Linked DNA regions of Coturnix japonica. Each later gene encodes a partner of the first gene's protein in a complex. Links are inferred from orthologs where the notes say so. Each region holds a gene or a part of one and is shown in the gene's direction. Other genes may lie near its edges.

Region 1 (5,118 bases):
GTGGTAAATACCAGTTCTGAATTGTAACAACAGGAAAGAGGGATAATTTCTTATCAGCTTAAGCATACCAAACTGCTTAATTGTTAGCTCAGGGCTGATCAATCAGAACAGTTATTCAAAAGGTCTTAAGTTTGTCTTAGCTTGTAATTTCCCTTCTGGATTGCTGTGCTAGGCCCTGGAAGCAGTAATTCTCCAAGGTATTCAGGGATATGTGTTCTTGCTAAGCAAAATTCACAGCTGCTCCAATACACCTCATGTCCCTGCACATTGCTTCCTGATACCCTCTCCCATGGGTTGGGATTTCCCACCCTTCCAATGAAAACAGCACTTACTGTAGCACCATCCTGGAGCAGGCCAGCCCGCAGTCCCAGTGGTACAGCTGCTGAATGATGGGCACTTTCAGCTGCACACATTCACCTGCAGTGAAAACACCCCGTGTGAGTAAAATGTAAAAGCTGTCAGTCGTTATATGGGAATGTTTTTCTGTACTTCACCATTCCAATTCAGCTTGTTCTCAGCTCTGTATTCTGTGCCAACAAAAAGTCATAGGTCAAATGGGTAAAAAACAGACACAACCAGGATCTCTAGGCAGTGATTTCTTACAAGCCCTATGGATTTCAGCCTCTTCTACTGCCATGTCTTTTTGTGAGTAATTTTTTAAGGTAAGACAGCTCACAAATGACACCATCTGTAAAAGGGCCAAAGAAGAGAGACAAAACCCAATCTATATCAAGAAAATCTGCAATATCAGTAATTCATCCTTTGTTATTTCTTTACAGGCAGTAGTAGTGGTTTCAGTTTCAGCAAAGCCCAGATTGCTTGATGGACTGAAGTGCTTCCGCTTGGCATTGTAACTTCAAAGACAATCCAAGTGAGTTAATCATAAAAGGCTTTTCTTAATGACTTTACCTTCGATCTGGTACAGACCCTTGGAAACCTTTGCTAACACAGAGTCAGCTCTGCTTTCAGATGGGGATAAAAAGCATTCAGCATCCTGGGGGCTGCTGCAGTTTCAACACAGCTTTATATGTAAAACTTTATGGACAATGTCTTGCAGTTTTAAACTGTTTTCTCACTGAGTTACGGCTTATTGCAGCAACAACGCGGTGCACTTTCTCAATCACGTCACTGGGTTTAATCATAACTTTGAAAGCTGGCACACACCCATTGGTGTACTCAGTGTTTGTTAGCAATGTTGATTATACTTTAGAAGGACAAACAGCCCCTCAAATCCCGCTTGAAGGAAGTAATGTAAGCATTGGCGGTGTGTTATGAGCTGTGTTATGAGCAGGTCCATTCTCTGTTACCATCCAGGGCCTTCTAACACCACAACTCACTGTGGATGTCCCTGTTCTCCATACACTATGACTTCAAAGGTAACAACCAGGCCCAGCGCTGCCCGCTTCTCATCCCCACCCCCAACAGAGCTGTCACGGCCCGACCCGCGGCTGTAAACAAGGCGGAGCACTCTCAGCTCCACCAAGTGCTTGACAGGCCGCCCCCGATCCGAGGCCCCGGAGCTGTCACTGACCTGCCTGCGGAGGGGGCTCCCCCGGCTCCCGGGGGCTCCTCATGACGGCGGCCGCCCGCTCACTACCCGCCCCGCCGGACTTAGGGCCGCGCCATGCCCTGCTGCGGCGACGGCTCCTCCCGGCTGCGGAGGGGGCGGACCCCGAAGCGGCTGCTCGGAGCTGGGAGGGAGGGAGCTGCCTTCGGGAGGAACAAAAGTGCAGCGGAACCATCGTGATAAGGCAGCGAGACCCTGAGGGACAGGAGCAGTAGCAGGATCCGCTCCTGTGCCCTTCCGATTCCGGGGCTCTGTGCACGGCGGGAAGGCGGCGGCCATTAGGGTGGTTGGTGGGAGGTGAGTGTCGGTGGGGGTTTGTTATAGGGTCGGTTTGTTATGGGGTGGGTCTGTTGTGGGGGTTTGTTATGTGCCTGCAGCTTCGTAGGGCGGCAGATGTGGGCTGAGAGGGTGGGCTGCCCTCAGCCTTGGGCCGGGCCTTGGGATAGGCGTGTATTGCCAAAGCACTGAGGCCTTTGTTCAATGGAGCAAATCGGCTCCTGTAGGCAAAGCCGAACTGCAGAACGACTGGGAGTTTGTTTCCTTTATTCACTTCTATGTTGTGCTCTCTGTCCCAGGAGTAGAGCCGCAGTGTTGCAGCCATGTCCATCGGGGTGCCCATTAAAGTCCTGCACGAGGCAGAGGGCCACATTGTGACCTGCGAGACCAACACTGGGGAGGTGTATCGTGGGAAGCTCATTGAGGCTGAGGACAACATGAATTGCCAGGTAAAAGAAGTTTATCTCATCTGTTTGGAAGTGGTTGCACTCAGCAGACTGACAGCGGGATTTAAAGACCTTTTACTTTTAGTCTTAGGATAAATAAAGCCCTTTTACTCTGTGCACTTACAGTAATGAAGTGAATTCCAGATTACTGAGCACACCAAATTGCTCAGAATTGGGATTTCCTGTTCCTGGTTCCTCTGTGAGCACCTTCTCTTCAGCAGTTCTTTGTTTATTGCCTGTTGATAATAAATAAACTCTAATTTATGAGCTTAGAGCTGTGCTTAATGCAGAGGACTTTAAGGCATTGCAATAGCCTTAATTTTGATAACTTCATGCAAGTTGTAGTTGAAATAAAAATGTCCTTAATAGCTGGGACCAGTAAAACTTTATTTAAACTATCTGAATAAGAAAACAAAACTAATAAAACTAATTAAGCAAGTGGGGAGGAGGGGAAAATAGTGAGTTTGCTTAAATTTTAGCAAGCTTTAAGACTGTGTTTAAATGGTTATAGATGCCTTATATAACAATAACAGTTGAAGGCTGTATGCTTGATAGGGCTTTGAGTTTATTACTTGAATCTTGGCTATATATATATTCCATGAGCAGGAGTAGTGGGAGTACAAAACTATGTTTAAGGCCACTTAAAACAAACTGTGTTTGAGACCACTGTCTGATCTTTACTTTCCAGATGTCCAACATAACAGTGACATACAGGGATGGGCGAGTGGCGCAGCTTGAGCAGGTGTACAGAGGCAGCAAGATACGGTTTCTCATTTTACCAGATATGCTGAAGAACGCTCCTATGCTAAAGAGCATGAAGAATAAGAACCAGGGCTCTGGAGCTGGCCGAGGAAAAGCAGCTATTCTCAAAGCTCAGGGTGGGTACAGTGTGTTTGTGGTCTGGTGTTCCCTCTTTACCTTCCTGTTTTGCTGTACAGAAACTGAGATGTTTTCATCCCTAACACTAAGCAAAGATGAGCTGTAAGAAGCTGAATGAGTGACAGCAGTCAAAACTCAGACTGATGCACAATACTGATACTGCAGATAGTTCAGGAACAGTAAGTGGCCTTGCTAGAGTTAGGTAAAACTTCACCTTTGGTTTTCTGTAAATGTGGTTGCTGCCTGTTTGGATTACCCAAAGTATGATGATCTAAGTATTCTTAAGCTTAAAAAATATATATTTATATATATATTTATATATATATATATATATATTTATACATACATATATATATACACACACACACACATATACGTACACTTGGTTGATACTTTAAGTTTTTTAAATGAGTAACTGTTAGCCATTCTGCAGTTCATCCTCTTTAATACCTTTTTTGTGTGAACAGTCTCGTTATAACAAGATCAAGAAATAATCATGGGCTCTGAAGCCCTTGGTTAACTCTACCAAATGCAGTAAGGATGTGTGGGGGAGTAACATCTGACAAAATATAGCGAGTTCTGTCACGCTGTATGAAGAGCAGGAGGTCTTAAATCTCTCTGGCTACAGATTCACACAATTTAAAGTAGGAACAATGGTGTGTTACTATTTCATTGCTCTTAATGCATACTCTGTTATGAATAGCAAAGCTGTGTAGTTGTTAGTTACAGTTGTTTTCACAGAAAACTTCTATTTACTTTTATCACTTCCCAGGCCTCATACTGTAGCTTAACTTCTGTGCTTCTAAGGAAGAGACTGAGAGTTATTGATGTTTGGTTTGTCACTTGTTGAGATAAATGTGTTGCATCAAATTCATGTCATCCCTGATGTTTTCTTTCTTCAGTGGCTGCAAGAGGAAGAGGCCGTGGTATGGGTCGTGGCAACATCTTCCAGAAGCGAAGATAATTTTGGTCTTGACCAAAATGCTTTTTTTTTATTATTATTATTAAAGGGGCTCTTAACTTGTCTACATATATGTTGGTAACTTCTGTTTAATAAATGTTTCTGACAAAACCCTGTCTGCTGTTATATGACAGAGCTCCTCTTAGGCACAATAGAGTTCTGGCTTCTTTCTGTAGCTGGCAAATACGTTGGAGGTGGATTTCAAAGTGCGTTGTCTAGAAAACAGTGGACATGGATTTGATTTCTTTGTACTTTTGTGTGATGCATTGAGTTTCAAAGATCATCTTGCTTCCTTTTTGTTCAATACTGCTGTAATTTACCCTCTAAAGAGTTAGAAGTTATTCTTCATGAAGAATTTTTAATGTTGTTTTAAGGTTGTGTTATCACCTGCATTTACAGAGCAAACAGTCAAACTGAGGTAGCTCCTAGAGAAGCTTCGTATGGATCTATAATAAATACAGGTCCACCTTCGAAGCTGTACATTGAGTTTGTATTTCTTATTTCTCTCTTTGGATGCGGCGAAAACTTTTCATTAGGAGCACACAGCTGATAGTAGACAGACCATTTTAGCCTGGGTTTGTACTTGCCTGAGGTGATTTGATTCTGACTGTATTGGCAGTTACTTGTTTTTTACTGTTGCCTGGGCAGAGAAGCCTGAATATGGAAGAAAAGAAATAATTTTCAAGCATTGATTTGAAGTGTTTCTTATGAATCTAAATGATGTCTAGGAAAAGTCACAGAAATGATTATCCATTATGTAGGCTGACTTTTTGAACAGGACTTAGGCCTGACTTTAGCTTTTGCTAACATCTATACACGATCACGTAGTTCATAAGCTTATCTATAGGAGGCCAAGTTTAGTTGTAGCTTTAGCTTATTTTTGCTTCAAGTACAATGTAGTTATCTTAATTAATGGTTGAAATGTTTCAATTGGTCTCTCCTGTACCTAATTGTACACTTGCATACAGTCATCAGTCTATACATGTATG
Region 2 (5,113 bases), on another chromosome or scaffold:
GGGTGATCAAAATATCCCTTTGAGGATAAGAGATCAGGAGCACAGGTTGTCTTCTTTAACAGAAAGGCTTTTCCAAGCATGTTAGCGGCAAAAGAAGGACTAAAGAAAACATTGGTCTGATGTTCAGTGAGATTGGTCATCTCACAAATGGAGATGAAATGAAGCAGAGACATTTAATGCCTTCTTCACCTCTTTATTTAACACCATTGATGGGCCCTGGGATCTCCAGAGCTGAAGCACTGCAAGCAGAGGGAGTGAATGATAAACCCCAAGTTGACTTTGAACTTGTATGGAATTTGGTGCTAGAACTGAACCCAGTTTGGAAACAAGTGGTTGCAAATGCAAGAGTACTTTCAGGACCTGTTTGTGCAGTCTGTTCTGTTTTCTTTCTTTCTGGTTGCTTGACCTGAGCTCTGGGGTTGGTTTCTTTGTTGTTAAGGTTCAGATTCAAAGGATAGATTTATGTTTAGTAGTACTGTAGAGCTGAGGAGCCTGTAGTGGAACGGGGGACGCCTTCAGGTCCAAGGCTGTATGTTGAAATTGAGGGTCTGACATGCACATCCCCCTTTGAAAGTCTCTGTTGTTCCAGGACTTGAAGAATGCCAACTTCTCTGAACGGCAGCTCCAGAGTAAGGTGTCAGCACCACCTCCCCGTGCCAGGTATTGTGGGTTAAAACAAAAAGGAAGGGGGTGGGTTACTCCTTGCCTGTGGGAAGGCAGGAATTGGGCTCAGCCATGGCCCTGTGCTGCCTCGCAGAGGCGCACCGCGGCTGTGCAGGCGGCAAGGAAACAGATAATGCTTAAAGTGACTGAAGAGCTGAATGTGTTTTTAGTTTCCTACCACGGGAACCACCAGACTCCCTCAGCAGCCTGAAGCCTGTGCTCGATTCCAAGCCTGAAGGAGGAGCTGAGAGCCAGGACTCGTCCTTCTGCTTCTCCCCCTCTCAGCCTTCAGAGATCGGGTACCTGAACGTCGCCTCACCTGGAGACACTGCAACCTCCCAGCTGCAGGAGGAGAGTCAGAGCATCAGCTCCGAGAACATGTAACCTGGGGACGATGTAAAGTGCAGGCTGCCAGGATTCAGGCTCCTGTTGTCATACAAGATTGAAAGAGGGAGTGTTGGCAGATGATAATTGGTGATTTCTGTGGTATCTCAATTATTCAACAGCTGCTTTCTTTAATAATTAACATGGCCAACCTTAAAGGTGTGTGTGTATCTCAGCCCAGAGCTGCAATCTGCAGACAGACAAAGAACGGGGGTGGGATGAGATTTATTTCCCTTCATCTGCACTCCCTGCTTTCCAAGCTTCCTCAATAAAACATGGACCGGTTTCCCTGTGCTGGGCCGTACCGCCGGGTTCCTCCCTTCCCCTCTGCTCTGTGCTGAGACGGGAGCGGCTGCCCCCGTGTGGCTGAAGGAGAGACAGGCAGGAAGCAGTAACGGGATCCGCGGGGCTCCATTCACTCTATGGGGCTCCATTCACTCTATGGGGCTCCATTCACTCTATGGGGCTCCATAGAGCGCTGTGAGCTGCCCGACCCGCTCCCTCCGCTCTACACGCCGTGGCTGCAGGCGGTTCCACAGCCGCCATGTTGTCCCGGCCTCCCCACCCACGTAGATGACGGGATGACGTCACACGCACAATTTCCGCTCGTCAGAGCGTGCGTAGCCCCGCCTCTTTTGCCCCACTTCCGCTTCCGGTTGAGGCCACCATCATGGCGGTGCTGGCGGCCAACCCCAACAACCCGGTGGTGTTCTTCGACGTCACCATCGGCGGGCAGGTGAGCGGCACGACGGATCCGCTTCTCCGGGCCCATCCCCGCCTCATCGGCTTCTACAGGCCGCAGCCGCTCCCCTTCGGGCGGGTTTAGGATCCCCGGCGGTTACGGGAGGAGGAGCGGGGGGAAGAGGCCTGGCTGGGGGGCGGGGGGGTGTGTGGGAGCGGGGTGAGCCGGCCGTGTCTGTGTCTGTATCTGTATCTGTGTGTGTCTATGTCTGTGTCTGTATCTGTGTCTATGTCTGTATCTATATCCATGTGTGTCAATATGTGTGTCTATATCTGTGTTTGTGTCTATGTAGGAGGTTGGCCGCATGAAGATCGAGCTGTTCGCTGACGTGGTGCCCAAAACCGCAGAGAACTTCAGGTGAGGAGCAGCCTCTGTGAGCACGGTACCGTTATATCGTGATATAAACCTCCTGAGCTCGTTACATATCGCAGCTTTCTCAGTATCTCCTCAAAGCTCTGTTGTGAAATGGAAGCGTTGAGTGGTTCCCATTGATTCCTGTTTCATCCCCATTGCAATAACCCAAGTCCTGCACAGCATTCATTGTTGAATGCCGCCTTTGTGCTCTCAAAGTTCAGAAGTGGTTCATACTCGGCTTTTCTCTGCTGTTTCTTTTCCAGGCAGTTTTGTACCGGTGAATTCAGGTATGTGGTTTATCTTCTCCTTTTATCTACCATCCTCAGACAATACTGGGCTGGGAAAGGGCTCACTTGGAAGGTTTCCTTACCTGTGTGAAAAGGGGGGATGCAGATGTCTGTGCTGCAAATTGCAGTGGGATCCTTTTGAGCTGATGAAATGGATGCTGCAAACAGCTGTGGCCATTCAGGGTTTCCCTTGGCCTCTGGTAGTGTGAAATTAAGCTCCAGGATGGGCTGAAGGAGGTGGGTTGGTTTGGTAGGTGATGTATTAGGCCTAATGTACAGGGCGTCCCTTTGGGGGTGTGAGCTCCTGGGAGGGTTTTGTGTTGGGACTTACTGTGAGTTGTAATGATTTTCCTTTTTATTTCCTTGTAGGAAAGATGGCGTCCCCATAGGTTATAAAGGAAGCACATTCCACAGGTGGTACTTCTGCTTTTGTTGAGAGACTCAGTAGCAGTAGGTGGCTTTGGGACCTGCCTCAAGGGCTTCTGCTGTCTGCCCTTTGGGTGCTGTCAGATACTGTTAATGCTCACAGATTGTATATACTGCTCACTGGTCGTATATACTGCTCGCTGGTCGTAGGCTGTAGTGTTTGCAGACATTCACAAGACATTTTTCTCCTGGGAACTAAGTATCATTTTCCTCTTTTAGGGTAATAAAGGATTTCATGATCCAAGGAGGTGACTTTGTAAACGTATGTACTACCACGTTGCTTTTGTCTTTGTCCTGTGCTGTACAGCACACAGCTCATCCTTCCCATGTTTTCTCTCTCTTAGCAGTACGATGGTATAACTGGGGGCTTTTCAAACTTGCAGAGGTTTTCTTTTCACCCTGTTGTCCTTCCTGTTTCTCCCATCCCCCCAGTAAGAGGCAGAGAATCTCCACTGTATGTGTGAGAAGAGATGCTTAAGTACACAAACCAAGCAGCTATTCCAAGGGATAGTACAAATCAAGTCAGGCTTAGTTATTTCAAGTTCACGATGCAAAAGTAAACGCTGTGGCAGACTAATTGCCTCTCTTGTGCAGGGAGATGGCACTGGAGTAGCCAGTATATACAGGGGTCCTTTTGCAGATGAAAACTTCAAGCTGAAGCACTCTGCTCCTGGCCTGCTTTCTATGGTGAGTATAAAATGAAGGCTGATAGCTTTTGGTGTTTCCTCTCTGCACTTTTCCTAACTTTATACATTGTATTTGGCAAACAGTAGGAATCTGCAGTTGGCTGGGGGGTCTGAAAGGCCTGTGTTTTAAGTAGCAGTCAGAAGGTTGCTCGTGAAGTGAGTCCTGATCCTCCAGAATCCTTTCTTCTTACCTGTCAGAGTTCAGGAACACGTTTTATTTGCTCAGCTTCCATAAAGGCTTGAGGATTGCAGATCTGGTACAGTGATGAGTGATGGGTCTTTTTCTTTCCTTATGCCTCTGTTGAACACTGACCTTAGCAAGGAGGAAACAAAGACTGCGGAGTTTCAGAGCCACAGCAGTGTTAGTGTGAAATCTTTTATAACGTTATTTCCCCAGTGTGATGTTGTAGCCAGTAAAGATTTTGTGTACTTGCACACGGTAGCAGGGCCTGACTTGATAATGCACCGTGACCAAGCACAGGTGCTGTCCTGCAAATGTCTGTCTTGTTTCCTTTGGTTTGTAAAGCAGTGAGCTCAATAAAATGTATCCAGGTTAGAGCTAAAGCAGCAGCTCTTTCTGCTGTGAGATGTCTCTGCCTTCAGCTTTGGGAAGTCCTAATTTGTATGCTTTGCATTTTGACAAATTCAACCTGCAGGCAAACAGTGGTCCAAGTACTAATGGGTGTCAGTTCTTCATTACGTGCTCCAAGTGTGACTGGTTGGATGGAAAACATGTTGTGTTCGGTGAGTACCTGCCGTGCAGGCCTGGCATACAGACTCTTACACAGTTTCTGTGGCACAGGGTCAAAAATAAGCAGCTGTGGATTTGCTTGTTCCTTCCCCATCCATTGTGCCAGCAGAGCTATTTGTGCAGCCAGGTATTGAGATGCGTCATTAGGAACATTTTTTTCTCAGCTTAACTTTAATCCAGATCAGATCCTGGATGGTTGTATCATTGTTAGTATATAAATCCTCATGCCAGTGCAGGTGGGACAAGGGATGAAGGATGAAGGGATACCTTCATGAAGGGGCTGGCATCCAAATGGAGCTTTCAGCTGGGTTTGTAGGTATGAGATGTGCTTTCAGAGGATGACTGACTACTTGTACTGCCTCTAGAGCTGTAAGATTTCAAGGCCAGACCTTAAGCTCTTGCCCTTTTATCAGTTTAGAGAGCTGTGCCCAGGCCTCTTCATGAGGAACAGGAATTGTACGTGCTGGGGAAGGCAGCAGAGATTAAAACACAGCACTGAAGTGGGTGTGTTTTCTCCTTCTAGGTAAAATTGTTGATGGGCTGTTGGTAATGAGAAAAATCGAAGTAAGTGGAATTTGCTTGTTTTTCCTGTGAGATCCGTGTTGGAAAGTTGTGGGAGAGCAACAGTGGTTATTCTGTTTTCTACTCTTTAATGAATGCCAGGGAATACTGCTGACAATAATGTGTTATCAGTTGCCTTCATTGTAAGATAATAGGAAATCCGTTGTGACAAAGTCTATTGAGATTAACTTTGGGAATGCTGTGGCCTCGTGGATGCTGGTGAGGCTTTGAGCAGGGATTTTGTTCTCCTGGCTCGATT

Evidence for each region. The genes of interacting proteins can lie anywhere in the genome.
Region 2: SNRPD3 (region 1) and PPIH share a complex: the UniProt entries of both Homo sapiens proteins name them as parts of the U4/U6-U5 tri-snRNP complex. The link is inferred for Coturnix japonica from reciprocal best matches to the Homo sapiens genes SNRPD3 and PPIH.

What each region holds. Positions count from the first base shown.
Region 1 is NC_029530.1:7,447,411-7,452,528, reverse strand, and holds the start of SNRPD3 (small nuclear ribonucleoprotein Sm D3), read left to right. Parts: upstream 1-1,747; 5' UTR 1,748-1,864; intron 1,865-2,142; 5' UTR 2,143-2,166; coding exon 2,167-2,292; intron 2,293-2,977; coding exon 2,978-3,167; intron 3,168-4,070; coding exon 4,071-4,132; 3' UTR 4,133-5,118. Other genes in the region: protein GUCD1, read right to left, coding at 333-417, 1,532-1,742. UniProt on the Homo sapiens protein: Plays a role in pre-mRNA splicing as a core component of the spliceosomal U1, U2, U4 and U5 small nuclear ribonucleoproteins (snRNPs), the building blocks of the spliceosome.
Region 2 is NC_029536.1:5,566,637-5,571,749, reverse strand, and holds the start of PPIH (peptidyl-prolyl cis-trans isomerase H), read left to right. Parts: upstream 1-1,648; 5' UTR 1,649-1,717; coding exon 1,718-1,783; intron 1,784-2,081; coding exon 2,082-2,146; intron 2,147-2,406; coding exon 2,407-2,430; intron 2,431-2,799; coding exon 2,800-2,844; intron 2,845-3,075; coding exon 3,076-3,118; intron 3,119-3,450; coding exon 3,451-3,543; intron 3,544-4,198; coding exon 4,199-4,286; intron 4,287-4,816; coding exon 4,817-4,857; intron 4,858-5,113. Other genes in the region: CCDC30 (coiled-coil domain-containing protein 30), read left to right, coding at 590-660, 834-1,047. UniProt on the Homo sapiens protein: PPIase that catalyzes the cis-trans isomerization of proline imidic peptide bonds in oligopeptides and may therefore assist protein folding. Participates in pre-mRNA splicing.